3 linked regions of the Lepisosteus oculatus genome follow. The protein of the gene in region 1 purifies or fractionates together with the protein of each later gene. This does not show direct contact. Links are inferred from orthologs where the notes say so. Each region holds a gene or a part of one and is shown in the gene's direction. Other genes may lie near its edges. The genes, in order: cebpb, atf3 and atf2.

Evidence for each region.
Region 2: the proteins of cebpb (region 1) and atf3 purify together in Homo sapiens (affinity purification with western blotting; 3 studies listed by BioGRID and IntAct, with this or other methods). This does not show direct contact. The link is inferred for Lepisosteus oculatus from reciprocal best matches to the Homo sapiens genes CEBPB and ATF3.
Region 3: the proteins of cebpb (region 1) and atf2 purify together in Homo sapiens (affinity purification with western blotting; 3 studies listed by BioGRID and IntAct, with this or other methods). This does not show direct contact. The link is inferred for Lepisosteus oculatus from reciprocal best matches to the Homo sapiens genes CEBPB and ATF2.

Annotation. Positions count from the first base shown.
Region 1 is NC_090711.1:12,164,749-12,175,129, reverse strand, and holds cebpb (CCAAT/enhancer-binding protein beta), read left to right. Parts: upstream 1-6,916; 5' UTR 6,917-7,138; coding exon 7,139-8,026; 3' UTR 8,027-8,571; downstream 8,572-10,381. Other genes in the region: peds1 (plasmanylethanolamine desaturase 1), read right to left, coding at 3,466-3,607. UniProt on the Homo sapiens protein: Important transcription factor regulating the expression of genes involved in immune and inflammatory responses. Also plays a significant role in adipogenesis, as well as in the gluconeogenic pathway, liver regeneration, and hematopoiesis.
Region 2 is NC_090697.1:18,859,720-18,870,967, reverse strand, and holds the start of atf3 (cyclic AMP-dependent transcription factor ATF-3), read left to right. Parts: upstream 1-6,663; 5' UTR 6,664-6,830; intron 6,831-11,248.
Region 3 is NC_090707.1:17,190,882-17,201,893, reverse strand, and holds the start of atf2 (cyclic AMP-dependent transcription factor ATF-2), read left to right. Parts: upstream 1-6,238; 5' UTR 6,239-6,340; intron 6,341-6,347; exon of another isoform or gene 6,348-6,408; intron 6,409-6,414; exon of another isoform or gene 6,415-6,623; intron 6,624-7,431; exon of another isoform or gene 7,432-7,493; 5' UTR 7,494-7,515; coding exon 7,516-7,563; intron 7,564-7,789; coding exon 7,790-7,886; intron 7,887-9,060; coding exon 9,061-9,179; intron 9,180-9,633; coding exon 9,634-9,762; intron 9,763-11,012. Other genes in the region: atp5mc3a (ATP synthase membrane subunit c locus 3a), read left to right, coding at 1,057-1,095, 2,008-2,085, 2,526-2,716, 3,163-3,277. UniProt on the Homo sapiens protein: Transcriptional activator which regulates the transcription of various genes, including those involved in anti-apoptosis, cell growth, and DNA damage response.

The DNA of each region.
Region 1 (10,381 bases):
GGTGTTCTTATGGTCCTATGTAGTAAAGCACAAACATTGGATGTTACATATACAGGAGAACACGTGGTGAAATAAATAATAAGTAAGTGTTCCCTATAGTCTGCTCTCAGACATATCACTCTAGTCTGGCTTCTGCGCTTAGGCTCCAGAGTACCAGCAGGAAGGAGCCGATTCTCCGAGTTGATTTTTTTCATTCGCTCTAGTAATACGATGCCCTGAGGTGGGGCAGAACCTGCTGTGGCATCAGAAGGAGTCGTGGTGTGAAATTAATCCCATTTTGTTCAAATACACCATTGACCTGTGAAGCACAATGTGAAAGAAAAACTGCAAGCTACTGGAGACTATATAGCGTATCTATCACTGTTTTTGATATTTTTAAGTTTTGTAAAATGAGGTCAGAGACATGGATAATCACATTTTCGATCTTGTTACACCAGTTTAGAGCCCAGACTTCCTCTTTATATTCAATCTGTTTTCCAGGCACTTTTACTACAATGACCAATAGGGAAAAGTTTTCTTAAATTATCATTTTCAAAAAGGACTTCTAATATGGTCAATGTTTTGCTTTTGTTCTTTAATCCATTGTTTTATGGAAGGTATTATGACACATCTGGAAATTATTCTATAGTACAGTATATACTATAGTATATTATAATAATGATGGGGTGAATATTTATGATTTCAATACATTTTCTGTTTTTTACTTTTAATTTTGTCAAATGTCTGGATTTTTTCCCCCACTTTGACATTATAGAGGACTTTGTGTCGATGAGTGGAAACAATTCTCAGTTAAATACATCATGGTTCCATGCTGTAACACAATAAATTGTGAAAAAGTCCAGGGACAGGGGGGTGAATACTTTTGCAAGGCACTGTACATAATCTGAATGTTTTAGGAAACATTATTCCATCATTAATCTTAAGAAGTTGGCAATCTTCCATAGGGATGTCATAACCTGGCTTAAAACTTATCAACACTGATGATCTCCCAAATCCGCAACAGTTTATTGGTGATACTTCTATTAACATGTACAATCTGATACTCTTTAAATCATTTTCTAAAGTAATTGCTGTCCAATTCAAAGCAATCCCCTCTTTTACAGGTCCTTTAGTCAAACAAGCAAGTCTAACTTTTATCATCATCTTCATCACCAGGCTTAAAACCAAAATCCTTAAACATTCTAGACATTTATGTTTACATTAAAGTTTTGACCATTCCTGTCACACCAGTCTAATAGTCTCTAAGGTTAGTACAGGGTTAATTTATGCTCAGTAATTTAACTTCAAATTGCCTGGATGCAGTCCACCGAAGAATAATGTATTTTAAGAGTTCCTATGGGGAAAAAACACAAATCTTTAGATTATTTAATGTGGGCACATCTGCTTATCACGTCTATATACTTGGCAGTGGCTCCACGGGTAATGAAGAAAAAAAATAACTTTCTCAAAAGAATTCAAATAATTGTAGGCAACCTGGAAAAAAAATGAATCTGCATAAAAGGACAAAGAAACTCATTCTCTCTGGAAAACGTACTGCAATAGTGCATTCCTTGGTCTACAGTAAATGACAGTACCACAGGCATCAAGACATTTTCAGTAAGACCTGCTTCACTACACCAATGTGGGCTCGAACCCAGGGGTCTATATTATCTTGAACTGCTGTTCTGTTTTGAGAAGGGCTTGCCAACTGAGACATAGCAGAAATCTCTGGGTTATCATAAATAACACAAAAAAAAACATGTAGCCTAACATTACTCACAGAGCTCACTAACTAACCAGACTACCATCAGCACTTATCAAACTGGAATTTCCAGATAATTTGTATCTGTTGTTTAACCAAAACAGGCCCTTTATTACAGTGTCCCAGAGTTAGATCTATCTGTTCCAGGAAATAAAAAGCTAAAAAAGTACTTAATAAATGTATTTGTATTATTAAGTCTGCATTCATTGTAGTGTTTAGTGGTATTATCTAGTATTAATATGCAATTATTTTGCACTGCAGTAGTTTTGTTTTTTTCCATTATAATTTTAAAATTGTATTTTTTTGTATACATGTATACAAAACTGTCACAGTTTTTTACCATCTTCCACTATTATTAAAGTCAACAAAAAACATCAAATGTATTTGTTTACTTCATATATCACTGTAACTAAGTAGGAAAAGGTTTCTGCCAACCACGTTAATAAGAACTGATCTGACAATGCTAAGGAACTTGCTTGTTAACACAGTGCTCACAGTCTCACATAGTGACAAGAATCTCCACTGGGACAGAAGGAGGGCATCATGGGAGACACTTCTCTCTAGATATCAAATGACTTTAGGGCAAGAAAATATTTTCGACCTTGCAGTTAAAAACTGCCTCAATAGCATAAAAACAATGTGTTTGGTACGTGACTCACTGAAACTTATGAGGACAGAAATATTGGCTTCTGGATCTATTATCTCCTGTTTCCTCCCACAGTCCAAAGACACTCTGATAGGTTAATTGGCTTCAGGGAAAATTGACCCTGGTGTGTACGTGTCTGTGTCTGCATCGTGATGGACTGGCGTCCCCTCCTAGGATGAATCCTGCTTTGCACACAATGGTTGCTGAGATTGGCCCCAGTCCCCCCGTTTTGACCCTGAATCGGATGAAGCAGTTAGAAGCTCCCTCAATTACAAATCGCCATCAATTCAGACTGACTGTCCTCGAGTAACTTCTGAATAAGACCCATAAGGACTGTGCACTCACATAGACATCTATATAATTAAACATTAAAAAGGCAGCTGGTGGCGTTACTTCTTAAGGAAAATATTTAGATCATCCAACACCCTGTATTTTTTAATAGTTGTTGGAATAATGATACCTCACATTTCATTTCCAGCAGTCCTAGTGTCTAACTGGAAAATAAAATCGTTAAACGACTCTACTTATCGAAAGCACTAACGCTATCATCCAGGTGGATGCTGCACATTGGTGGCGTTGGAGGGGATCCCCATTACCTGTAAAGCGCTTTGAGTGGAGTGTCCAGAAAAGCGCTATATACGTGTAAGCAGTTATTATTATTATTATTAACACTGTTATAACAATGCTCTGAATTTGTGCCCCGTCCATAAAGCCATTGTTCACTCACATAACAACAACCGCATCACGTGCGGATACTATATACAGAACCGCGGCTGCCCACCCATGGTTACGACACACCCTCTCTTATTTAACACTGTATCTTAACAATTACCTGGACCTGGTAAACCTCATTATTTTCACTGACTTTCCTGCCGTGATATACATAAACAACTGCAGAGAATCGACAACATATATGTCATTTCCTTACATGCTCAGCTCCGGGTGAGTATACTACTCCACGGAGCCTGTCGGGTAGCAGCTATTCATTCTTGTATAAGTGAATGTGAATACCAGGATTCAATCGCAGGCTGCTCATGTGGGTGTGACGCCCGCTAGCCCGCTGTCACCGGTATCTCACCTGGAGAGTACAGCTCCGCCAGCTCCCGGGCACCTGCATGCTGCGGGCCCCACCGACATTCTCCCCTGCCCGGTCCCCGCGGCTCAGGGTCTTCTTGGATCCCATTACTCTGTAACCCGTCTCCGCTCCCTGCTCTCGCCATGTTCCCCAGCAAATCCAACCCCCGCCCGGCGAGCGAGCCAACTGGGGCCCCGGCATCACGGCCTGGCCACGCCCCGTACCCTGGCATCAGCCAATCATTTCTCACCTCCCTATTCCGCTCGACCAATCGTCGAGGTCCGGACGGGTGACGGAGCGCCCTCGGTCCACCAATGGAAATGGCCCAGCAGAGGTTGTATTTCCTGGCCACACCCAGCCCCAGCCAATCAGAGAAACGGAACATGACACACTTCGGGGGTGGGCTGGCCGGGAGAGGCGTGTGTCTGGCTCGCTGCCTGCGTACGGCCGTCTGTGGACATTGGACACATTCCAGTTGCATGGAAAAAAAAAGTGGTGCGAATTAAAATATAACAGCATGACATCAGATCCTACTTTGCTCATACAGACGGAAGCCCAGAGTGCATTTTGCACACTACGAAACAACCACGGGTTCTCGTTGCAGTCTGGTGTTCATAATCAAAGTGTCATATAAAAACTATCCGCAATATTTCTAAATGACATCTGCTTTTAGGGTTCAGCGGCCAGTTACATTAAGGAAAGTACATTTAAATTTTGCCTTCGTGTTTCCGTTAAGCGTTCCTTAAGTTTAAGGGTGTTAACAAAAAGGCATAACACCTGAAAGTCAGTTTTAAGCACAGCTGCACGAGCAAAGGCATTAATACCTTAGGTGTTTCAAATCTTTATTTTGAAGATTCGGCTGCTCGGAGGTGTGTTACAGTGGTCCCGAAACTGAAAGGGTCGTGACCCACGTGTTTTTTAGACAATCCATATGTTTCTGTTTCCTGTTTCATTTTTAACATGCGTTTTCATTCATGTACCTTTAAATTAATAATCCCTCTGGTTATCCGTTTCGGATAAAATCGCCAAATAAACGCAGTGTGCCATTCATTTTTTGAATCACTTATTACAGTTTAGGAGACATCGCTCCTAAAAATGTGAGAACATCTGTCAGTGAACGAAACTCAACAATGAGTAACCTAAAATTATTATTTTATTATTTTGGTACTGTGCTAGTCCAATGCCAATACTGTGCGCAGAAGAATTCTCTTGTTAGCTAGGAAAAAGCAAAAATAACAGAACCGTTTGAATTAAAAATCACAAATCGGAACTGTTTGTATTAATTTTCTTATTTCGCCGTCCATCCATTTATTTTCTAACCGTTTCTTCCAATTCTGGGTCGCGGGTGAGCTGGAGCCTATCCCGGCAAGCACCAGGTGCAAGGCGGGGTACATTCTGGACGGGACGCCCGTCCATCACAAGGCAGACAGATACTAACACACACACACACCCACCCCAGGGCGAATTTTTACAGAAGCCACTTAACCTACCAGTAAGTCCAGTAAGCATCCGGAAGAGACTCACGCAAACACGGGGCGCACATACAAACTCCGCGCTGATAACACTTCGGGAATTTAACCCCAAGGCCCCAGCGCTGTGAGGCGGTAGTGCTAACCACCGTACGATCCTTATTTCACTAAGCAATGAAGGTGAATTCGACACGAGTACGGTCGGTCATACAGGTGCTGATAAGGTTAAGCGCTGCGCCGAGCTCCTCTGACGTAAGAGGCGCCGGTGTTGGGTGTGCCGACAAGTTAGTTCAGGTTTCAAGAAGTCTCCCAGTCTGCACTTTACCTCGAACCTGTCAAACCGCTAGCAAGTCATTAGCTGAACTCCAAAGTCACCACATCCAGTCGTGTTGTAAATCCCATCTCCCTGCAAACTCTGACCAGTTTGAAGTCACGATTACCACCAGTCCCCGAACGAACTAACTGAATAAAAAAGCAAAATAAAAATACGATAAAAGAGGTATTCTAATGAAACGTATAATAATATAACGATTTCCTTCAATCGTGGATTTATATTTGTTTTGGAATCCATTTGTGAATCTCATGTACTATGGGACAGCTATATAATAATCATCGTCATCATCATCTTTGTGTTTTTTTAATTTTTATAACAATTCCGTGTCAGGCCACAAGGGGGCGATATCATCTTTTTTTATCCGTCCTGCGTATCGCTCGAATGCTTCGGGCCATCATACATTTCTTTCCAGTCCTCATTTTTTTTTTAGTTTTGCTTTACGCGTCTGCCCTGTGCTTGAGTTGACTTGAGTGTCCTCTGCAGTTGCAAAGGGCTGCAACTCCCTTGCACCCTGGCTCAATGACACGCCAAGCAAGTTTCACATCCTTTTCAAATACGCACAAATCATTCTGGTTTAGTGATCGCTGTCGGTGCTCAAACATGCACAGGAAGAGAATTCAGTCTTTTTCATAAGAAACTGGGGAGCTGAGTTTGGAACAAGTAGTCAATAGAAGACATGAAACGGACTGTGGCAGTAGTCATTTTGAATTTTTTAAAATGTCTGAAAGGTTTCTTTTTGTAAAAAAAAATGCAGATACGAGACCTTTTTTTCCCTTGAGCGCACCAAAAGGCCTCCCCCGTTGTTGTAAAACAAGTTTACAGAACGACCTTTCACTCCCTAACATTGTCGCCTGGCATTGGCGATCGACGCGAGTAATGTGCTTGTAACTAGAGCTAGGAGCTGTGGAGCAATGTCCAAGCTGTGGTTGGGCTTTTGGTTTGTCAGCTTTGAAAGAAAAAAAAATGCAACAAGAACGTTTGGCCATTACAATTGCGTATTTATGTTTTTATTAGTATTTTATGTTTCGCCAGCGTGTGTTGCGCAACAGGACGGCGGATCCCCCGACTTTGACACTACAGAAGACCGACCCCCGCTTTTTGGCAGGGACCGTAGTTTGGGAGGGAGGATTGAGCAGTGAAAGACATCCATGAGAGAAATTCGGCACTTAGGATGGTTATCGCTCGCCGTTAAACAACAATATCTTTGTGTCAATGAGCAATTAAATAAGAATAATCAATGGTACAGGACATTACTGTAAAACACGCAGTGTTGTTTGATCATTTGAACGCAACGATTTCTTATGTCACAACATGGTGTATTAAAAGCCCCCTAGTCTCCGCACAGAAAAGGGTACAGCTCACAAGTCAATGTTTTTTTCTCCAAATACACAACATTAAGAGAAGCGCCGGTTGCCTTTTTTTATTTCACAGCACTGCGTTGCTCTTTTGCAGGTCCATTACGAGGGCAAAAAAGTTCAGAGAAGCACTGGGGAAAAAAAAAACTAGTTTGATCTTGAAACGAGCTCTCGGACTACAGCGTCGAGCTGATTTGCTGTTCAACCGGTACAGCCCGTCACGCCGCCACCCTGCCCTGAGGTCTGACGCCGCCCTCTTTCCAGGTTCGCTATATATACGCTGTTGCAAGCGCAAGCTGTCGAACTGGACGCCGAGCCGAGCGTGTGGGCGCTGCCAAAGACTGCCTCCCAGGACACACCGATTGAGCAATCGCCTCGGACGTTATTAGTATTATTATTTGTAGGCAGACCGTGCACCCCAGTTCGCCCGCTTTTCCCCCTCTGCCAGCAAAGCAAGTCCGCCAGGGAGCTCCGTCCCTGATCCCGATGGTCCCGCAAACCGGCGGGTGTTAAGATCGATGGCAGTGGCGGGCTTTTACGACGGGGATTACCTTGCGTTCCGAGGTGTTGACAGCAGCAGCAGCAACAACAACCACCACAGCAGCAGCACAGGCTGCAAGCAGTCCATCGGCGGTTCGATGACGGAGCTGGGCATCGCCGAGCACGAGAAAGCCATCGACTTCAGCATCTACCTGGACCCCGCCTTGCCCTTCCAGCAGCAGCAGCAGCAGATCCCGGTCGAAACCCTGGATCAGCACCACGGCGGGGACATCTTCTCCACTTTTCTTGCCGAAGACAGCAAGAACAAGCGTGCCGCCACCTTGCAGAACTACAGAAACTACTTGTCATTGAGCGCTCGGGGTGCCAATCAGGGCGACAGCCCGAGACCGTCGAACTTGCTGGGCTTCCCCGAGTTACTGGAGACGCGAGTGGACACCGTGTTTAGCCCGCAGCTGCTGGGCGGCTATATCAAGCAGGAGCTAAAGGAAGATTTAAGAATGGACAGGGGCTCTCCCAGTTACGAGATGAGGTCTTATCTACAGTACCAGTCGGCTCCCAGCGGCAGCATCGGGAACCTCTCCACCGCCTCCTCCTCCTGCTCCAGCCCGCCGGGCACCCCCGCCCCGCCAGGTGCTGGGGGGTCGCCGTCCCACGGGAAGATGTCCTCGGGCAGCAAGGGCAAGAAGAGGCTGGAGAAGGACAGTGAGGAGTACCGGCAGCGGCGGGAGAGGAACAACATCGCGGTGCGGAAGAGCAGGGACAAAGCCAAGCAGCGCAACATGGAGACCCAGCACAAAGTACTGGAGCTGGCGGCGGAGAACGAGCGCTTGCAGAAGCGAGTGGAGCACCTGTCCCGGGAGCTGGCCACCCTGAGGAACTTGTTGTCGGCGACCGGACAGTGCTAGCGCCGTTGCGGGACTCGGTACGCGCGGCCGCCGCTTCAACTGCGGGGGTACTTTTTATATTGCCAGCTGGAAAATACTGGCCCCCCTTTTTCTCTGGGAAGTATTATTTGTAACTCAGATGTTTCTCTTTCCCTAAAAAAGGATCAAATTGTTTACCAATTTACAAGGGAACCGTATTTCTGAAAGCGTGTGGGTGTTGTTTGCTTGGGAACATGGAATATGCGACTGATTGTTGATAAATTACCACTTGTGATACCATGTCTGTTTGTTTTTTTCAAAAATTGTTTACTGTATTTTTATACGAGTTTTAACGTTTAATATACTTCTGTGTTATTTAAGAAATGTTGATGAAAACACGAAGTGTACGCTCTTTTTTTTAGCAACGGTTGTCAAGGGAGTTGGATTGCGCAAATGATGCAATCCGATGTAACAGTATTGGCAATGCAATGAAGTAATCTGTTAAAGATGGAAAGGTATATACAAATTATAATGAAATGTATAAATACTATTTTATTGAATTAAAAATATTTTTACTTTGGTGCAAACTTTGTTTTCGTGTCTCTGTTGCTTATAGCGCAAGTTGCGTGAATGGCTCAGAAGAGGTCTTGTAAGCCGGTGCATTCACATGATATCTGAATGGGGTTCACCGCTATTTTCCTTCACTGAAAAGGCACCTGTGAAGCTGTGGTAACTCGTGGCTCTGAAGATACTGAGCTGCCGAACGCATTCATCCTTTAATACAACCCAGAGCTGGTTAAGAGATTATCGTAGGAGCTACATCGAGCTCAGCACAAGAAAACTGAGTAAAGGCGTTAAGTTTTGCGACGATAGTGTGATCTGGGAATTCTTGACAGTGGTGATATCGTCTGCAATTTCGCAGTCTAAACAGTATACAGTCTAAAGCTGCAGGACAACAAGATCCAAAAGGAGCCTATGTCCATTACTGTATCAAAGCAATACACTCGAGCCTAAAGCATTAGATCAATATATTTTCAGTGTTTAATGTAGTTATGTAAGAAAATTGACTATATTTCATAGGGTAAGATGAAAATTACCTTTACTGTGACCTAGGTTACATAAAATATTTGGAAATGGTTTAGTTTCATTCTGTTTTTGTAATTCTCAGACACTCATGTGTTGGTGGTAATATTTTTTTCCCCATGCACAAGTTCTAATTCAGTATCGCAATTTATAGCACATTCCCAAATGAGCACCACAGGAATACTGTAACACCTGAACACTTCCGGCCCCTTTTTCCGAGATCTGATGTGTCAATTTAGGAAGTTTTAGCCTGCATGTCAAAAATCTGTAATCATGTATGAAAAAATCTGCACAAGACAACTACTGTTCAAGATAGACTTGCTCTGTAAAAATCTCTGCTGGGTTTTCACCATCTATCATTGTGCCATTGATCTCATATCTGATGTGGGCTACATTTGGAATTTATTTATTTCAAGCTGTTATTTACAGGTGCGCACAGCTTCAGATATACACTTCGTTCTTTCCAACACACCTAATACTTAAAAGAAAATGTACATTTCTAATTGAGCATTCACATACATATATTTTGCAGATGATGTGATACATTTTTAAAGTGCTTTTTAAATTGGTATTTTCCTGGCATTAAACAGTAGGGGTTTCAGTCATTTTAAAAGAAGGGAATGTATTTTGTCATTTAGGGGTCTGATTTCATTAAGGCAGAAAAAAGAACAGTGATTTTATCAATCACTTGTCAGTAGAGTATGTACCCATATAACAGAAATGCATTGCCTTTAGTTTATAAGTTCTAATACTACATTCACACAAATACATCCATTTATTTTTCTAACTGCTGTATCCAGTAAAGGGTCATGGGGAGCAGGAGTCCCTCAGGTGATGGGTACAGGGCAGAGTACACCCTGAACAGGACACCAGTCCATCACAGGGCACAGACATGCACACACTCACACAAGGGCCAATTTTTCTAGAAGCTAATGAAGCTACTAGTATGTCTTTGGACTATTTTTGGAGAAAGAAACCAGAGCACCCAGATGAAATCCCACCTGAATATGGGGAGAACATACAAACTCCCCACCAATAGCACCCCAGGAATTGAACCCAGGGCCTCAAGTGCTGTAAGGCAGGAAGGCTGATTCCTTCTCCACTGCGCCACTCTATTCACAAACAGTCACACACATTTCCAAAAAGATGTGGGAAACGGTCTATATATACACTGTATATGGACATCACAGATTACACTCACTGCAAAGTGTCAAAACGAGTTGCATGTATTTTTAAACACACTGCTCTGTGGAGATGACAAAAGCTGATAAGGGTTTTTTTTTCACTTTTATTTGTCTTGTTTTTGATTTTCTC
Region 2 (11,248 bases), on another chromosome or scaffold:
TGTTATTCGGTACACAGGAAATCCCCGTCACATGACCACAGTGAGTCCTGTGATCTTGGTCGAAACTGCTGTTTATCTGTAACATTGAGACACCTTGGCAGAGAATGACTTTTGCAAACAGTTGAAAAACATCAAATCAAGAAACTAAAAAGGCAGTACCGCGGAGTATTTTATATAAAAGGTGATTTTCTTTGAGCTTTTTTTTACATGGTTTTGTGAGTAATAGGAATATTACTCACAACACAGACATTTTGACGTTGATTTTATCGGGTCATTTCTGGTCTATGCTCTGAACTGCTTCATATCGATAGATCTCTCATTCTGCTTGAATTGTCCCACGTGGAGCAAACAGAAACACTGTTGTGTTTCTTTAACAGTATATGACATTTAAAGATGATCATATGCAATACAGTTTACAAGGAGATTGTTTTAATTTATTTAGCTGCATATCTTTTGTAAGCTACATTACTCTTTATATAGTTATATAACAATGATGGTAAAGATCATGGATATCACGTGCCGAGCTGTTGACCTTTCTTTGTGAGTAATGGTTAATAGTTTGCCACCCTTCCTGGTTACAATGCCAGTCCTCTGTGGTTTCTTCATGAGTCACACTAATAAGCTAAAATGCATCTCACTTTAATGTGAAAGCTGTTCAAAACAACTTTCATATTAATGATTCATATAAAATATACTGGTAGGGTTAAAATGTGATGTATATGGATTAGTAGTTAGGGCTCTGCCCCTAAAATGCGTTGGTTGTGGGTTCAAATCCTGGGTGGAGTGTCCTAAAGCAAAATACTGCAGTTGAATTTTGCTTATTAAAACTTCTAGCTATATAAAAATGGGAACAATCCCAAATAGCTTTGTAAGAACATTAAATAGATCAATATTTATAATTAATTAATAAAGCAACAGGATCAAGGCAAGATTTACCCTGGACACTCCATTGCAGGGCAGACACACAAACAGAACCACTGACACTCACACCAGGGCCACGTTTCCCAGAAGCCAAGTGATCTACCAGTATGTCTTTGTGTCTTTGGACTATGGGAGGAAACCAGAGCACCTGGCAAAAACCCATGTAAATACAATCATAAAATCTCCATGCAGATAGCACCCAGGCCTGAAATTGAACCCAGAGCCCCAACACTGCAAGGCAGCAAACCTAATGACTATTACGCCATTTTAAGTAACACCTTTTTAAGTAACATGCAGCCTGATACTTTTACTGGTAGTCCGGATGATTTAAGGTAATATATAAACCATGCTATTACTGTATGTACTTGCTGTGTCTTTGCCTGAGGCCATAGAGAAGTTGCTTACCTTTTTGGGGTAGGGAAATGTGAACTATTAAACCTTCATTAAAGACAAAACAGAAAGTCTCCTTACTGAGAGAGAAATTCTCCCTTTTTATATATCAAAACAGTATGATATATAAAAACAGTATCAAAAACAGATACTTGCTAAGTAATACATTAAGTATTCAGTACTGTGAAGAACTACTGGCATACTCTATAAATATCTACCTTTTCTATGCAGTAATAATAGCCTAAAAAATGACCTGAACAAAAGATGGTTATCTGAGTAGTTTAGTGAGTTATGCTAAATTTATTAAGGACTGTAAAATAAGAATACGCTGTGGCTTGTCTTTCCAAAATACAGTACATGGGAGCAGGCACACCCCTGGGAGGCTGAGAAACAGTGCTGTGTTACTGCTCACTGTAGCACTGGCACAACCAGTGATGTAGAAGCCTGGACCGCTGATGAGGCACTTACATGCAGTCAGGCTTCTCATTTATTATTAAAGTGAAGCGGGAAGCCTTCAGTCAGACCATGGAATAGGGAGGTGATGTCACTTTACCTTTGGTTTCCTATTGGACTACGACTCATCATGCATCAATGGTATCATCATAGCCCGTATTCCATATCCATTTTATATCACCAATTGGAAACAGCATGTTAACAAAAAAAAAACACATGACTCGCTTCATTACTGTAATGTAATTCTGCAATAAGTAGAGTATAGCTCAGAACTATGAATATTCAGTACTTTTATTGGTAAGAGACTGACAAACCTGGGCCAATAAGCTACAGTATGAAGTACTAGGCAATTATGGCAGACCAGATAGCCTCCTCCCTATCGTTACTCTTTATATTAACAGTAAAGCATAATGTGTTAATTGCTGTCAGTGCTGGGAAATTACATTTTAAAACATTTAGGAAATGGTAGAGCAATATCTTTCTTTTCTGTGTCTCATAAAACAAAATTTGCTGGCTTATTTCTTCTCCATCTTCTATTATGATGACCAAATATTTCACAGGACTAAATGATATCACGGTAGCCTCTATATAATAATTTAGTTTTAATAGTTGTGCTGATTTAATGTTTAATTTAATTTTCATTTAAAAGAGTTGAATCATCTTCAATTAAAGCTCAGTTTTGATACGGTTAATCATTAAGAGGCTTCCACAGAATATTACTCATCTGTGAAGAGTGGGCTTTAACACAATTAACATTGCAACTAAAGTTGCAATTTATTTATAGCTAATAAAATATAAATTTGTTATTATAACTAATTTAAAGTTAGTTCCTGAACATTAGTGTTATACAGTCCATTCATTAGCTTCTTTCTGTCCTAGGTGCGTTGTTGTTTTCATTCATTTGGCTAAAGTGATTCCCAGAGGTTACAATTAACCAAGTTTTACAAGCATACTGTGGTGACAATTTACAGCTGAGTTTTCTGTAGCAATTTTGGTAAGGCACCTTACTGTTAGTGCCAGCAGGTACAGTATATCACCCTGCAGCTCTCAACTGGCTACCCACTGAAGCTAAGCAGGGTTGAGCCTGGCCAGTATCTGAATAAGAGACCTCCTGGGAAGCAATGGTTGCCACTGGAAGTGGTGTCAGTGGGGCCAGCAGGGGGTGTCTGTGTGGGTCCTAATGCCCCGGTATAGTGGCGGGAACACTATGCTGTAGTGGGTGCTGTCTTTTGGATGAGACATTAAACAAAGGAGGCCCTGACTCTCATTGGTCATTAAAGATCCCTGGGCATTTCTGGATAAGAGTAGGGAGTTATCCTGGTGTCCAGGACAAATTTTCCCCCTTGGCCTTTACTGTGGCCTTCAAATTGTCCCCATGTATGGCTTGCACCTGCCCTGTGATGGGCTGGCGCCCTGACAAGGGTGTACCCTGACTTGCGCTCGCTGCTTTCTGCAACACTGTAAGGTATAAACCGGTTTGGCAAATGACGTGACATGACCTTACTATCATAAATCAATAGTTATCCCAACCAAGAATTTAAAGGAGGTAATTCTGCCCATACAGCCGTGCCATCAGGGGCCCAGAGTCCTTACCATTAATCCACACTTCTAACCCCGGTCATGGTCTTGGCCTTCACTTCCTCTTTCATCATAATAATGGCTTGGGTACACCTTTCAAGGGAAAACAGCATTGAGATGACTATGACACACACCCTGCACAGATGTTTTCTGTTTCACTATAAATACTTACAGGAAACGAGGTTCTCAGTTTGAAAGTGTAAGTAAGAAAGTGGTGTTGTTTCTGTTTAAGTCCATAAGAAAACTGTGGGTGGCTGCTGGGGTCAAACTTAGAAAAAACACCGGTGCATAGAAAGTCAAGTGGTTCTGTCTGTCTAGAAGATGCTGGAAGCAATGGTAAAAGAGCTGCTGAGTCATTTAGCCTTGCTTACTCAACTTATGAAATGTTGAGAGCAACGTCACTTTCACTTCTGATTAAGGACAAAGGTCAGCTCATGAACCTTGGTCCAGACTCAGGACTGACACAATGGCATTTAATCTAATAGCCAAGCAGACTTTCAAAATCTGACAGGTGAAAATATTCTTCACTGTTTGAGCTGTTGCCATATTGCAGGTCCCTCTATAAAACTAAAACAATGGTGCTTTGAAAAACAACCCAATTATAAGCTACACAACTGCCAAGAAACATTTACAAATATTGCATTTACCAAATCACATATTTTGCACAATCTTTCTTACATATTACTTCCAGAAATTCATTATATTTCAAATAACAACAGGTGAATTTGGCCTGTACTTGTTTAATATAACTTATAGTAAGTGGTTATGGTTTCAAAATATAACTAAAAACTTAACTGAAACACTGGTAAGAATAAGGTTTAGTCGACCCTATGCAGCTTTCTCATGAGGATATGAAAATACAAAACTTTTTTCTTTACAAAAGATATGTGTTTTATTGTGGCCAAAAATAAGCCTGGAACAGGAATATTAGTTTCACATGATGCATAAAGAAAAAAAACATTTGACTACTGTTTCACATAATTTGATGAGGCATAAGGGGATGTTAAACTAGTCTGAACCCAAAACAGACAAATAAGACAAAAACAATACCAGACATATATTCCTTGAAAAGAAGAAAAGGATTGGAGCTTTTTGAGTGTTTGGAAAGCTGGGATGTGCATTCCCCAGCAGTCTGAACATCTGAAATGAAAGATGATTTGGCAAGAAGGCAGTGGGAGAGTGTTGCTATGGCCATAGCCTGGTAAACAAATATACACCAACTTACTCGCTTTCAAAGCTGAGAACAGAAGACACAGAACCGATTTAACTTCGTTTTAAAATAGCCATGACTTCTACTCTTCTGCAATGCTTGAATGTAATAAGGAAACTACAACCATTATTTAAAGGAAGCAGAGTCATTCTACATGTAATGATACAATCTGGTCACCAAGGTTAAAATTATGCTGAGTCACAGAAGTTATTTTTGTATTAAAAATGAGTTTGCCTGTTTCTTTTAATAGAGTATGCCCCCAGCTGTGTGGAATTTTTGGGACACTTCTATCACAGTTCACATAAAGGAAGGTGTCTTGCTCCTTTGTCTACGAAAGTAGAGTGAACTGAATCTCGAGGAAGTGACGTCACAGCACTAGTATCATTTGACAAATTATTTCCACAACCATCATACCTGCTGTAAGACAACAGGAGGGTGACGACATGACAAGTGCTGAAGTTTCAAGAAATGTCTGATTTTGCTTTGTCATAATTAGAAAACCATTTTCTCTTTTAATCTTTTAAAGAAGAAAGAACTGTTATTTCAGTTGTAAGAGAAACCTAAACTACAAGTTGAAATTCAAAACAATTATTGTTATTTATTTATCTATTGTATAACAGAGTTCTGTAAATATGCTTTAAAAACAAGCCGATTTCAGGATCATAGGAAAAACTGTGATGGTAAAGATTTTGTGCCACAGCTATGATGACCATAGCCCATGTTAAAGACCATGACTAAAACCATAATATATTTACAGGCAGTCCTGGTATCAATTAATATAGATACAGAAATAACACAATATCTTCTATTGAGTCCTTTTCAAAAGTTGCATTTTAAAGTTATAAGGAACATGTTATTTTTTTAGTATCAGTGGAAATAGTTATACATTTTGTAAAATACCAGCTCAACAGATCGTGTGTGATTTTGATATAATTCAATATACACTCACCTGGCATTACATTTTTCTCAATAATACAGTTCTAGAATTATACTATTGCTTAATATTAATATATATTTTTTGTTGCTTACCTAAGCTAATATACAGAAAAAATTGCTTTTAAAAAAACATAGTTTTTACATGTTAATTTAACAATTAATGCTTTAAGCAAAATGAGTATAAGAATTTGCTGTGAAAGTCTTTTTTAAACTGTACTATATGTCTCTATTCAAGGGAATCCACACATTCCTGTTAAATCCTAGTTCATGATCGAACTGAAAATGTTTTACAAAATTTAGCCCTGATTCCCATTCAACACCCAGTTTCTACTAAGTCACACTAAGCATGTGTCAATTGACAATTTACGTGGTATGGGGAACGGTTTTGTAGTTCCTCATTTTCACGGCAGTAATTGAGAGCTTTGGTCTGGAGTACAACCCCAATTTACGAGATCGAAAACCAATATTTTACAGTTCCTGAAGGCTCTAGACTCTTACTTTGATTTACAGTTTAGCTTTATTTTAAAGTTTACATATTGCCAAAATACTGTTAAGAAATTAGAACCCACTATTAAAAGAACTGGGAGACTGGTATAAAAAAAGAAACTGATTTCTGATTTAACGACCCAGCTTGTTTTCCATCACAGGAATTTATGTGATGGAAAAAAAAAGCCCCGTCCCTTTGTAAATACTAGGGACCGGTGTACACTCATAATGTAAACGAGAAATCCTGTTTACGCTTTTAAGGAGTAAGGGCCACACACCCATTTAAAAAATGACGATGGTCTGATTCACACTCATCATGTAAGAGATTCACAATTAAATTAAATTTAACTCGGGTTCTGCGTATGTTAAAACTACCCTCAGTACAACAGCCTCAACAATTTTATATGGGCAAATGTTTGCAAAAACAACAGAATGCATATACAGTTCTTGAGCTGCGCAGACAAAGCTAGCTCTGCTGGTCTTGATCGCAGGAAAATCTGAAAATGCAGTTATGCGTTACATTTCGAAAAAGTTTCTGTCTAGTCAATAAACAAATCATATTTTTTTTTCCAACAAAGGCTACTCATCGCTGGAAATAAAAAGTATTACACCTTTCGGGTAAAGTAATTACAGCAGCCAATACTGTTTCATGTTAAAATGTATATCCTGGCTTTAAATGTCGCTCCCTGTTGTCACTGTCCAAAAGCTCAGTGAATATATTCAAAACAAGTAAAACGAGTGTTTAACATTTACAGCTCAGCTGGCTCCCTTTCTGTCTTCCTCCAAGATGACGTCACTCTGCGAGAATAGGCGCTCGGTGAGCCCAGGCCGCTAATGTTTATATCAGTTTCGCCGGGTGAGTAATCTTCGGTTTTACGGGAACACGATGTGTCACCCAGACAGAAAGCGCAAATGATCATCATTGATTTTGACTTTTCTGCAGTACCCGTTCCCTATGTAATCTATTGGTAGAGGAGGGGTTTCGCTGTAGTTGTCATTTTCTCATTTCTCAGCTGATTGAAGCACTGCTCAAAAACAGAAGAAAAAAAAATGACTCCTTCACTTCCCGGAAAAGGGGACCATCTCCCTCTTCAGTTGCTGGTACATCAGGAGATGGTTTTCTCTCTTAAAGTTGTAATACAGATTTACCGTAAATTGCATCGACAAAACAAATTATCCAATGTGACTGGGTGTATGTACATTACGATCAATAAAGGGGACTGAAAAAAGAGGCATATCTCCAAAAGGACAGTAACATTGTGGGAGACATTTCCATAATTAAACGACTTTTTTATAAACGAAGTGACGTTTTAAGTAAATTAAAAAAATTCTCATTAGGACAAAAGGGAATACAAACATGTGTCTTATGTTTGTTTCTCAAATTATCTGTTTAAATGCAGAACGTTACTTTAGATTTTTAATGTAAATTGCTCAATATAGAATTTACTTTGGAAATATATATATATTGCAACGTTTAAAGTTTCTTATTTTTGAAATGGAGTACAAATGGAACAAAAAAAAGTACAAATGGAACATTTCAGTAGCGAAATGAATAAATAATTTGTAGCATCATATTCCTTCTTAAAAGTAATATGAAATATGAAAATTAATATGGAATAACTACCCAGTTAGCAACGTGACAAACTTGATATGCTCATTTTGGCGTCATTGGGCTAATGTTATAGAAATCATGTAATGACCACATGTAAATTTTAACCAAGTCATTTATCCATGGCTAGTGGCTTACTCCCTTACCATGTTCCTTTGTATCTTTCCAATTAGATAACGAAATAATACTGGGCGCAGTAATTTCAGTGTTACCTATCTTGCCTTTGACACATGTTTTGTTTTATCCAGTTCCAGTTCAGTTTACTGTCATATGCAGAAGTGCAATGAAATGCGTATTTGCATGTATGCTCCGATACAAAGACATTAAAGGAATCACCAAAAAAGTACTGTAGACACAGAACAGCAGCAGCAACAACAAGTTAAATAACATACATCTTGAAAAAAAAACATCAGTGTGAGCCAGTGGTAGGGGTAGAGTTCAGTAATCTGAGTTTGTGGGAAGAAACTGTCTCTGAATCTGGACGTTTGTGTCTGGTTGACAGGTATAACATGATACCTGATAACATTCTGATAACATTTTCACATTCTCACTGCACTCCAGTGTGCATATGTAAAATTTCACTTGCTTACAAATGAGTCAAAGGTCAAATTGCTTTTAGGCAACCAGTTAAATTAAAACTCATCTGAAGTGAATACTGAAGGGTTTGTGGAAGGAGGTTACCAAGCCTTTTCTTGGACAGATGACATCATACATTTCTCCCACGCGACTGTAAAGCGCATTTGGTAAACATACATATAAAAATAGCGCCATATAAATGATGTGTAATAACATCAATAGAATTTCCATTAGGTTTCACAACATCAGGTACAGTATATTAATTTGTAACTATAGCTTTAGTTTGACATTGATGTTGGAATCAGTCCATACATTCAGCTCAGGAATCTCGGTTTAGCTTTAAAATCAGCTTTGCATTTGGAACTCCTGTTTGCAATGTTGAAACGTGTGAATGTATGAAAGGTAACTTTGTAATTTTTGTAATTTACTCATGTCTTTCTCACTCTGATGCAAACAAGCCAATACGTGTACAGGTAGGTATTTCTTGATTTCGGGCTTGATGACTGTAACACAGTGCTTGCTGGTTATTTATGTATTAAGTTGCCTCAGAGCTCAAGTGCTAACGTAACCAAAACTAAAATATAGAAGTTAAAAAATTCTCCTATTTTACCTTGTCTGCTCTTGCATTTCAGAATGAAATGCATTTCAGAAGAAAACTTAAAATATCAGTGCCCTCCTTTAAAGGCCTGAATAGACTCCTGTTTACATCAGTGAACTGTTATCTCCCAGTACACCTACACATCATTTGCATTGTTTGGACTCTGGCCTTCTTTCAGTTCCCAGAATCAGGCTTCAAACTTTGGTTTGCTTTGCTTTCTCTTCTGCTGCTTCAAGGCTATGGAATGATCTCACAGCCCATATTAGGTCATTTTGGTTGTTTTATACTAAAGAGCTCTGATAAGATGTGTCATGAAAGGTGCATTACAAAACAAATCTGATTAATTTCCAAAATGGAAAGAGATGTACAGTAACAAGTGTAACACGTTTTGTACTGTCTTCCACACTTTTTATAAAGAACAAAGTCAGCTTTGCTCTCAAACTTGCAATTTCAACTGATGAACCCCTCAAACAATTACAGCCCAGGGGAATAAAATAGCACTTTATAAAGGAAAGTTTACAGACAATGACAGTAATGCAGAAAAGATCAAAACAATATGACAAATATTATTTAAACCACATAATAGCTGATGAGTTGAAATTATTTAGATTTGTAATGTATGGGAGATCAAAAGTCTTTTTTTTTCTTTTGAGAGATAAAGAAACACCTTCAATTTTATTAGAAATCTCAGTCCACTACAAAATACCTTTTCAATGCATTTGTGGGGTATTTCTGGTGCATTTGAATATAAGAATGGTGGCAAATAAGAGGAGGATATTCAACCCACCCCAAACCCAGGGTATCGACTTCAACAACACAGCTGGGTAGTTTATTCCATATCCTCTCAACCCCTTGGTTAAGGAGTGCCCTCTTTTCTCAAACCTAAATGCCACTTGTGTCTTGTGTCTTATGGTTCATGTGTTATTGATGAATCTGAGGAAGTCCTCCATGTTGTATTCGTCAGTGCCTTTGAGGGTTTTGAATATCTGGATCTGGTACCCTCAAAGTTTCCTCACCCAGTCTAGTGTGTCATTAAACAAACAAGGCATGAGAGGTTAAATCAATTCTAATATGTTACATTTTGCAATTGATCTATCCTATTTAATCAATCAATGGATTATGTCAAACCTTTAAAACGCTACATGATAGACTGCTGGATGGGACACTTAATGCAAAGCAGGGACCCAGAAAGATTCCATCAAGCTGTGAATTAAAATGTTTCTGTGGGCAGCTTTGGGTTGAAATTCTGTCAGAGGTTATCTTGCATTTCTGAGGTATGAACTAACTGATGTTTAAAGCTTGCACAACATTGGGTAATAATTACCATGAGTTACTTCAAGGGACACTGTGGAATTAAGAAAGAAAATTGAAACACAGTCATAGCTGCTGTAAATCTGAAACTTATTCTGTTTCTTTTAAATGACAACTCGCAGATAGAGCAAAGGGACTGTATGTGAGGAATGAAAGTCAAAGAACTGTCTTTGATGAGGTTAATGTAGTTAACTTTAAAAAAAGACACACTGCTACCACTGGAGGCTGATACTCCACAATCCCTTCCTAGTTCCTTAAAATGCATAAAAACTGACATGACAGAAACTCAACAGAAACATGCGTTTTACTATGCAACTCTCACTATTGCTTTAACTGTGAATTGCAAATATTAAAATTCTCTCTCAGGCAGCTGGGTCTTTTTTAATATCCTAATAAACAACAAAAAGTATATATAAAAATACAAGTATTGTATAATCTTAAACTTGTTTGAGAAAAATTATATCTTAGAATAATTTCTGAAAATCATAGATACATGTGAAAACAGTAAGAACTATAATATATTTTGCTGTACTTTAGTTGCATCTAGGTTTCAAGGATATTATTATTAAACAGACTGCAGGTTAAGTTCCTGTCTATCTGATATAGATACAAACTAACAATTAAATGTTTTTTAAACATTCTAACTGACAAATGCCAGATTTCTCTGGTACATGGTATACTGACTGTTTTAAGTTGTCTGGAGAGTAGCATTACATTTTTGCCTAACTAAATTGGCTGTATAATGTATATATTCCTTATTGTTCACTTGCCGCACTTCACTTACTGGATTTAAGTAATACCTTCTACTACTACTCATATTAATAAGAAATAAACAAAGAAAGAAAAAATTAGTGTAAACGCAATAATCTGTTCTGAACATAGGTAAACGTCTTATTTCGAATTACATCAGAAACTATCTTTGAAAACAATGTCAATAATATAATCATATAATTATTTTTAAAAAGTTTTACAGGTTCTTCTGAATTTCTTTCAACTTTAAAGCTCTTTTATCTTAGTTTATGTGACTTTTATGTATTACCGTATATTACTTCATTTAAATTTTTTTGTCATCAGTTGCCCTTGTACTTTCGCTATGATAAGATAACTTTATTGGCCATATACAATGTCTTGCATTAGGAATTTGTCTTTTCACATACCCCAGCTTGCTCTCCACAAAACA
Region 3 (11,012 bases), on another chromosome or scaffold:
ACAGTGCTGCATATGGGGGATCTTTAATGACCACTGAGTGTCAGGACCTCAGTTTAATGTCTCATCTGAAGACAGCACCCACTACAGTATAGTGTCCCCACCACTATACTAGGACATTAGGACCCACAAAGACTGCAGGGTGGGCGCCCCCCAATGGTAACACTAACACCTCTTCCAGCAGCAATGATTGCTTCACAGGAGGTCTCTCATCCAGGTACTAACCAGGCTCAACCCTACTTAGCTTCAGGGGGTAGCCAGTTGAGAGCTGAAGGGTGATATGGCTGTTGGCTAATTAGTAATGATATTAGAGCAAATTAAACTGCATTGAGAGGACAGGGAATGTGCCCAAAGGCCAAGTATATAGATTTCAGCTTTCAACAGTAGTGGAGTCTTTCTATTTCTGAATGTCACTGTTTTAATTTAAGGACTGTACAAGTATGTTATATATATATAGACACCTTAAATTTAAAAAGAAATGTTTAAACGTTGATTTATACAGAATCAATTAGTTCCGTGCAGTTTTCCATCCCCAAAGAAAATTGCACGTCTTCGATTAATTACTTTTGATTTTGGGTTTACCTCTGTAGTCATTGCGGACGTTTATTTTCACAAACGCAACGTACTGTAACCCTCGGCTGGTTCCAATCAAGTGCAACAGTAACTTGTCAGTTCTTCTGTTTTTCAATAAAGTTGCAGCGAAGTGACCTTGACAGCCGCCATCCGGGAGTTTGCAGGGAAAGAAGCAGACGCATGCGCAGTGGTTTCTAATCGGTTCGACCTCTGTAGCCGGTAAGTGAAGGGGAAGCAAGAAAAAGGCGAAGGAATAGAACATTTACAATCCCATCTCATCCTGTCCTGGGGATCTTTGTAATTAAGTAGTGGTTCTGGGTTTCATGAGTTTTCATTATCTGTGCATGCGTGATCTTCGTTTCGGTGTTGCTGTTGCAGACTTTAGGAGCAGAATTTCCATTGACCTTAACTCTCCCTTGTTCTTCACAGAGACAGACCCGGGTTTATGATCAATTCCGAACTCAGCAACCAATAAATCCAGACAGAATGTACGCTTGTGCTAAATTCGTTTCCACGCCTGCTCTGGTGAGTTTCTGTACCACATCTGATTTTCAAAAACCACATTTTCTGGTCTTTTATTCTTATTTCATTGCGGGCCTAGTCTTGAACTTGAGTTTTTCCTATTTTTTTTTCTAAACGTTTTCTGTTCACACAGGCCCCTTCAGTTTTTAGAATGAAATGGGGAAAAAAATAAATACAAACGACTTACTGTTCAATGGTTACAAAAGGGCAGTTATCAATATTAAAGTGAACTCATATCTAGATATAAAAGCTGAAAAAATCCGGCCTTTTTAGTCAAAGTCGTGCTATTTTTCTAATTGCACAGTATAATTCAAACCTCGGTAAGGGGTAAACCAAGTAAATAATGGTGCATTTGGAATTTTTAGTTTGAAAATGACAGCGATTTATTTTTTGAATGACTTAGGCTGTGCTCAGGGCTTGGGCCTTACTGCCTTGCTCTGCAGCTGAGATATGTCCTCTAACTCAGGACACAAGTAAAGGAGGCCGAAACGTAGCACAACAAGCATGATTAAAGTACTGGAATTACCTTTGGTACTGAAAAACTAAATATCTACCTGGAATTGAAATTGATTATTGTTCAAGATTTAAACGCCACAGACGTTTAATAATTTCAGAGAGCTCAATATATTGACGCTGTATCTCTTCCTTTCTTCTCAGTGAAGCTCAGAAATTATTTACAAATTGTTGTTCGTCTCCCATAATCCACGTTTTGGGTATGTGGTGGACTTTGCATGGGCACATTATTTTATGATCATGCTAATACTTGCCCTTAACTGTATGTTTTCTATAGGTGCATTTTGTTTTATCTTAAATAGCTACAGTGAAGTAAGATGATGTAAATGAAGTCAGTTTCCCTTAAGGTGTGGGCTGATGAGGTGTGTTCCCTGGTTGATGTGGGGTTTGTTTTGGGTGCAGGTCCGTGCTGGATCTCGGGCTCTGTGCAGACCTCTCTCTGCATCAGTGCTGTCCCGGCCAGAGGTCAGAACAGGAGAGGTGAGTCTAAAGAGTAGTGCTTCAGTCCTTGAAAATGTCATTTCAGATTGGTAGAATATTGGGATCAAATTCCATTTATTGGATTTTGTTTAGTGTGCAGACCTACATTCCTTAGTGGCCGATGTGCTTTAACATGAAAATTCCTCTGAACGTCTGTGCTGTGACCTTTAAAAGTGAGAACAGAGGTGACTCTTTACCCAAAGAGTTGTGGGAGGGTGGAACAAGTTACCCGGCTGATGCCGGTACTCTGGCTTCCTTCACAAAACAGCTGGAGGAGATCCTTGGATCAATGAGGAAATTACCAAACAGACATTATGGGCCCAGTGGCCTCCTGTTACATTCCTAAAGTACTTTCCCAAATGATTAAAATAAGCTGCATCCAGATAGAAGTGTTTTTCTTTCCCTTCTACTTTTTCTACAAAGAATTAAAACTTTTCCAGGGCAAGGCTGCAGCTGTGAGCGGGCCACAGAACTCTGTCTTGGCGCTCAGGGGGTTCCAGACCAGTGCCGTCAGCAGGGACATTGACACAGCTGCCAAGTTCATTGGTGCTGGTGCCGCCACAGTAGGAGTGGCTGGATCTGGTGCCGGAATCGGGACAGTGTTTGGCAGTCTTATCATCGGCTATGCCAGGTGAGAAACATCGTCATTTTGGAGCACAGGGCAGAGGTGCTCTTACAAGAGGTAGGCAGCGTCAGTGTAGCCTCAGATGGTCATACAGTTTGGATTCATCTGTAGATCTGTTAAGATTTTCATCAGGGACGCAAGTAGGTGTGTTCAGAATTGAGTGTTTCTGAGAGTTCACAGAACTGCTTTTTCTAGCTACAATTTTTTTTTGGAAAAAGTTTCATCCATTGCAAAACAATGATTTTTTTTGTGATTTCACACTTAAGATTTTTGTGTTAAACTCATTCCGAAGTCCTTCTTTATCCACTGGGGAATAAGAAAGGTAAGAAAGTGTTAATTAGGTAGGTCGGTTCACTGTAAATTCATGTTAAATTGGTACTGAACAACTGTAATCTGTAGCACTTGTTTTTACAGAAGACTAATTGCAGTCTTTCATTTCTTTGCCCCTGCAGGAATCCTTCCCTAAAGCAACAGTTGTTCTCCTATGCTATTCTGGGATTTGCCCTCTCTGAAGCCATGGGTCTGTTCTGTTTGATGGTTGCTTTCTTGATCTTGTTTGCCATGTAAAAAAAAACTGCTTCGGATGTTAATTCTACATTAGATGTAACTACGTGTTTTACAGTGGTTACTAAAACTGTTCTGTGTTGGTGTCATGAAAGTGTACATTTTTCAGGATTTTGTTGGAACACTGTCAAACTACAAAAATAAAAACATTGTAAGAATGTAACCAATGACAGAATTAAAATACACGTATTGGCTTTTTAAAGTCTCAAATCACAGTTCCGTTTTGTGTTCTGGGAATCAAGGTTTGTTTTAAAATCTCGTTATCAAAATATTTGTGCATTTCAGTACATTGAAAGCAAAAGATGTTTCTTATTGAACACTTAATACACTCAATTGAAGGATAAAGTTTAAAAGCACCCTTTGTATCATGTAGACTTTTTTTGCAATAGCATTAAGCAAGAAAAAGTGCTTTGTCACTTAGATGAATAAAAATATCAGTGCAAAATTTGGGATCAAAATGGCAGGTTTCATTTTATTGGAATTACAAATTTGGAGCCAGATGACGTGTTTCCAGCTCTGTTTGAGGTAATTAAACTACTTTGTCTTTACAAACGTGCAAAAAAGCAGATGCGTTTTACAATGGGAATCTCTGAATCCTTAAACTCTCTAAACTCTATGAATTAGCTACATTACTCTGCTCTCCTCCCCACTAATAGCTGATGTGTGGTGAGCGTTCTGGCGCACTATGGCTGCCATCGCATTGGTGGTGGTGGAGGGGAGTCCCCATTACCTGTAAAGCGCTTTGAGTGGGGTGTCCAGAATAAGCGCTATATAAGTGTAAGCAATTATTATTAAACACATTTTTAGTTTTTTTTCATATTACACACTTTGATTGTATTCATATTTCTCCCTTTTTTGAAGTGACATTTCCCATTTTTAACAGGTAATATTGGAAAAGGTCATGCAGAAACTGGTCCAAGGTTCATGATCTGCAGATGTCCCACTTTCCGTACAGATCACATCTATGAGTCTATATGAATTAAAGTGGTTTAACTGCAGTAGCATGATGATTAGGTCTCCCAGCTTCTTTACCTGGTTAAATAGTCATTGGATCAGTTAGAAATCAAATGGGTAAGAATTGTGAAAAATGGTCTCTTCTCATCTGTAACTAGAAGCAAGAATAGGCCTAGTTGTGTTGCACCTCAAAGTGTGGTCACTGCTTTAATTATTTGAAAAAGCATAATGCAGGGATTAAGGTTCTGAACTTGAACTATTAGGTTACTGGTTTAAATACCCAGTGGAAGCTGCTGTATCCTTGCGCAAAGCACTTTAGATTGCTCCGGTAAAATTCTAGCTGGATAAATGAGTATGAATGTAAGTTGGATGCTGCTTCTCAGTATAATCAGGATAGTGTTGAGCCGTCACAAATTCACAGCCGAAAATCTCAATACCATTACAAAGTGGATATGATTAAATTATACACTGCTTTTCGAAATTACTCAAAGCTTTTAGGAACATTTGTTCAGCATTAATGTGATGATATGGGAATACTTTTCATTAAGAACTTACATTATTATGTGTCGTACGTGTGCAATGAGGGGAAAAGCTTGACTGAAATATTACTGAACAAGTAATAGGTTTATTCCATGCTGAAAAAAAGAAGAAAGAGAACACAACGTTTCGGCCGTGGAGCCTTCTTCAGGTGTGAAGAAGGCTCCACGGCCGAAACGTTGTTCTCTTTCTTCTTTTTTTCAGCATGGAATAAACCTATTACTTGTTCCTTTGCAGCCTACGCATGCTGACGCAGCTACCCACCTGAAATACTAATGGCCTACAGTGAAGACTAAATTTTACATTAGAATTATAGACAGTATTGTGTATTCATTCAATGTTCTTGAAGCATATGATCTGCATAGCATCCTTCAGGTAGATACATGCTATTTTATGGAAAACATGCAATGTGAGGATTAAAATCGGAAAGCATCGTCTTTGAACACCGTTGCAGTATATTATATCAGAGTATTTTTATAGCAACATTGTCTTTGTTATAAGGCAGGTATGGGCAAATCCAATCTTTTGAGGAATTCCTGTAGAATTAAAAGGTGCTTTTCAGTTAGCAACACGTTAAGTCCTTATAAATTTTCTGTTCTTGGACAGATTTACACAAAGTAATTTAAACCAGAGGTGGAAGAAAAGTTAGATGATCCTATGGCTCTTCCCTCCTCTAGGGTATTTAAGACTAAAATGGATTTCATTGGTGAATATTGGAAGAGTGTCTGACATGGAGGAAACTCTGACATGTGCAGTCCAAGTTAAAGAAACTGGCACTCTTGACTGATGTCTTCCAGATTTTGAGTCGGTTAACCCCTGAAAAAAAGTGTTCTGTTCCTTTTTTAAAGTACAGGTTGCCAAGCACACACTGAAGAACAATGGGTGATGGTTTGTGTGCTGCTGGCTGGTTAGTCTCCTACCTGTACCTGAAAGAAGCTGGAAGCTTCGGATTTTGGATGGAACGTTTTTGACATCAGTACTAGAAGCTGAAAACACGTGGCACATGTTGGCCTCATTTGAGTAAAATGTTTTTTCTCCTGCAAAAAATAAAACTGGAGTATGTTTTCATCTCGTTAGCAAAGTATGCGTGTCTATATTAAATCATTGAGGACTCACCTGAAAGTAAAAGCCTTTATGTCACGTATTGTGTACACCAACATGTTTAAAATATGTAAATGTAAAAAGTAGTTTTGTCTCATTCATATTTAATACTAAATACATTCACAACGATGAATATCCAAAATGTTAACACTGGAAATGCATATTAAGAGACGAAGCAGTGTTCTTTCTATATGTAACTTCAGTTTTTCTTTTCCAATTCCGTGTAAAGAACGAGGTGAAAATTTAAAGTTTGTCTTATTTAACCGGCACAAAGAAGAATCAAAGCTAGTCAACCCTCTGCCCCACCCTCTCGAATCAAAATGCCCTTAAAGCACGCGTGTACGACCACTCAGCCCGTTCTGCGCACGCCACGTCACGTTCGTGACGCTTGCGGAAGTGTCCGCGCTGGAGCAGCGGTCGCGAGATCTGGCGGCAGCCCGTGGGATTTGGCCGTGAGAAAGGTTGAGCCCGTGGGTAAGTGTGTAAACAGGCCGTATAAACCGTGACAGCCGTGGTAAACAACGACTGCCACACCGGTTAAGGTAGCCTGCTGCTGGAAAGCAGTTTAGAGTAGCAGTCTCTACTTATTTTGTCAACGGGCGATGAATGCTTTTATACTGCAGTGACAGTAGTAATAATAATAATATGGCGACGGGGGTATACCCAACCCAAGACAAGAGACTGGGATGGTATAATGATGATGGACTGTAAACAAGAAACCGCATCTTGACAGTAATGTTCGCCAGGCACCCTAAATGTGATTTTAATTCATTAACATAGTGTGTATATGTGCATTTTTGCAGTCTTCGTAATGCAGCCTCCGCATTATTGTTTACACATCTAAGTCCTCTGTATAGAATATCTAGAACTTCTGCTGTTATGGTAGGGCACAGGTAGCATCTTTTACATGCAGGTATTGTAAAAAAAAAGAAGCTGTTTTACAACACAGCAATCCAGAGTTGTTCTTTTTGTTCCCTGTTCGCCGAAGAACATCACTGTCACTTTACTTAGAGAAGGTTAGCCCTGAGAAATACTACGATTAAGTTATTTAAGAGTACCTCACACGACACTAACACTGAATGGGAGTCGATTACTTGACAGAAAGGATATCAATACCTTGTGTTCGACCGGCGTTAATTTTTAATGCAACTGAAGAGGATGCTCGGCACGGTTAAATTTGAAAATAAACGAGAGACCAACCAAGCCAGCTGTATAACGCTTCCATGCATGTTTATGTTAGTTTTAAAACGAGTTTTATGCTTATTTGTCCAATGAGCTAGAGACCTTTTCTATGATGCACAAGGCTTGTTGGCGTGTCAGTCACTCCAGAATGCTGAGCTGTGTGTGTGAGTACTTCAGGAGGAAAGCAGAAAACACTTTCCTAGAATCGCCAACGATTTGTCACCTGAAGTATTTGTAATGTGTTCTGTGTTATCTCCCGGGCTTAAAGTTTACAGACGTTTTCAATACGTAGTCATATTTTCATTGTGGTTTTTTTTTCTTGCATGCTTGTGTTGAAATCGAGACTAAACGTTATTTAAGAAATGGTTTGTCGCCTTTTGCAGTGGTCCATGATGTGATTACGCGTGACAGTAGGTCTTGAAAGTGTGGTATCTTTCTCATCTAGGAGATAAAAGTATCTACTGAATATGAGTGATGACAAACCCTTTGTATGCACTGCTCCTGGATGCGGTCAGGTATGTATGGGTGGCAGTTCTGAAACTCTTTTTAAAAATAAAAGTTGGATATAATATTTTATTGGTTGCCTGTTTTACTTAACCTTAAGACAGTAACATTGCAAAACCAGGAATTAGAAATTACACAACCCGCCTAAATATTTCAGTTCATGAAATTGTTGGCTGAATCATTTAGAGATTCATTATCCTAAATACCTTTTTTAATGTAATGTTGTATTTTTTGTAGCGTTTTACTAATGAAGACCATTTGGCTGTCCACAAACACAAACATGAGATGACACTAAAGTTTGGTCCAGCGCGTAATGACAGTGTCATCGTTGCTGGTGAGTATCAAACTGCAGATCCCAGGAAGTGGGGAGTATTTACCAAGGGAAAGAGAATCTAAAGTGTAGGAAATTGACAAAAATGTCAATTCAGGTATGAAAAATGTTATCAATAGAATTTGCTTGTATTGACGTAACGGAAGAGATACATGTTGAACTTCATTGATCTATCAATAGAGGAACAATTAATAGAGTAATCATGCGTTGTCTTCCTTTTTGTGTTGCACATATACCTAAAACCAACATTTAAAAGCTGAAGGAGAAAAACTGCAAATTGCTGAGCTTTTATTAGATACCAGAAGATAAAGGGTGACTTTGACGTATTTACTGACTGCAGCAGAGTGAGACCGATGAAAGTTAGTTTTTTTTCACTGACAAATATAGTGGGGCTGTTTCTGTTTTGAGAGTTATGAAAAATGTGCTCTCAGCCTGTCTTCTGGCCACGTTGGAAATACTCATCAGCTGTTGATACGGTGTGATCAGTCAGTCATAGAAGTGGCTGTTTGGAGTATCTTGTCTGTCATGCCTTGCAGTTAGACTGCAATGGAATTTGTCTTGGCAATCGTGTAATCAAATCGTTCGTGTTCATTTCTTTCAGTGGAAAGGAAATCTTAAAACCCCAGCCTGACTCATAACAGTTCCAGACATTGTGGAGATATATGGTTGTTGTAAATTTATTCTAGAAAAGCCCATTATATAATTTTAAATATATCTAAATAGTAGGAAAAGTGCCATTGAAAACCTACAGTTGGCTATGCTGTAATGCATTTCATAGTGCATCATTTGGTCTTACCTATAAGTTATCACCATCTTTTGCTATTTTATATTTTCAATATGGGAGAACATAGGCAGCAAAGCCATAACTTTTAAGTTGTGATTTGTGTGTGTATTTGTGCTATTCAACATAAAATAATATATTACCTGACACCTGAAGAAGGCTCCACAGCCGAAACGTTGTGTTCTCTTTCTTCTTTTTTTCAGCATGGAATAAACCCATTACTTGTTCCTTTGCAGGCTACGCATGCTGACGCAGCTACCCACCTAAAATAATATAGATTTGCATTTTGTTATTGTTCCTCAACTGATAAAAAGAGCTCACATTGTAAATCTTTCTCATTAATAGGTAGCTGTTGTTGAATCAACTGAAAGACACTTTTGTTATATATTGTTTCAGACCAAACTCCAACACCAACCCGTTTTTTGAAGAATTGTGAAGAAGTGGGACTATTTAATGAATTGGCCAGTCCCTTTGAAAATGACTTCAAAAAAGCAACAGAAGAAGACATCAAAAAGGTAACGTTTATTAAGATGCTAAGAATGGTTACAATCGAGAGGAAGTCATTTGGCACCTCTAGTCCATTTGGTATTTAGTAGCTAATTGATTGAATGATCAAATCCAGTCGTTTCTTGAAAGAAGCCAGGGTATCGGCTTCAACAACATGTCTGGTCGGCTTGTTCCATACTCCCACAACACTTGGGGTAAAGAGGTGCCTCCTGTTCTCTGTTTAGAATGCAGGTCCATTTAGTTTCCACGTGCACAAACAAACATAAAATGTAATTTATTTTTTACATTATTTTGAAGGACTAGTGCAAAATTAGTTGCCATACTGTTCTTAAACAATACTGTTATTAATAGAAATTTGCCACCTAGGAATTGTTGAGACTGTTGCCACTAAAGTTTTTTTTTTGGTTTCTCGTTTACTTTTTAAGATTGTTTTTGTCGGTTCACGATGCCTCCATATTTCAGCTACCCTTAGATTTGTCTCCACTCGCAACTCCCATTGTAAGAAATAAAACTGAAGAGCCATCAGCTGTGGAAACCACTCACCAAGACAGTCCTTTGCCTCACCCAGAATCTACTACAAGTGACGACAAGGTAAATTCTACAGAAAATCCATTGTAGATTGGAGTAGTTCCAAATCTTTCTATTACATGTGCTGAGATGGAACCAAAGAAAGGCTCAGATTATTCTGTTTTTTGGGAACAATCAATGCATTTTTTCTGTGTTGAACTTTTTTCAGTAGTGTAATTAATATTAATTGACAATTGCCTTGTTGTGCTGGCACAGATGTAAGTGATGTATTGCTGTAGAAATTAGGCACACATAAAAAGAGGAAGGTATTAGAGGCTCTTTGCTTTAGTGTTTTTTTTTTTAATCTCTACCCTTTTATATCCAGAGATAAAACAAATTTAAGTGTTTTGATGTACCTTGTACGTTGTTCTGGCAAAGTTTTCTTTCTTTTGTGAACCATAACCTTTCTCATATTGAAAGGAGCACAATCGTGTTCTGTACGGAACAAGTCTGCTGCCAGCAATGTTTGCATTGATGTTTATGGTTTATTTTACTGTCGGCATGTTAAAATATATTCCACATCACATCACAAATAAATCTGTATCTCCAAGGAAAACCGGCATAAATTCCCCTCCAGCCCCATCATCCATAAGAATATGTGCACAGAATTTCAACAGGGCTGATTTTGCTGATGGAAACAGCTATAAACTGCAATGTTACTGCTTTTCTGGAGACTCGTTATAAGTTTGCAGTAATTCTGGTAGTGGTTTTGCTATTTGCCCTCTGTTTCTGTTCGCTTCAGTTTGACAGACGTACTTACCAATAACTGCATCTGTGCCATTTGCCTTCATAAAGTGAGAGTGCCGTACTAACATTTTGTTGTACCGGTACTAAAGACTAAGTGAACAGAAAAAAGAGCTGTAAAATAGTCTTAATTATGTAACATTTGAAAAATAAAATTGAAGCAAACTGGGGAGGCATGTGGGGTGTGTAAATTTAAGAAATTATAGGTAGTTCTTGATTTGTGGGGCAGATACATTCTTGAAACATGATGTGTAATGAAAAAAATGTTATTTTTATAGGGAAAGTTGTTTTGAATGTACGTGTAAATAAGGAGGGGTTGCATTCCGGGGTCCACTCTCAGCCAGAGGATTGAACCCCAAAAGAGAAGCGAATATATTTATTTTACGCAAAATGTTTGTACAGCTGTATTATAAGTTATGTTTAAGTTAAATGTCTGTTAATGTTTAGCATATGAACCTTCATGTTATATTCATTCCATTCTTCTGTCCTTCACTCTGTCAGATTTTTAAATCCTGTTTAATATAAAGTCT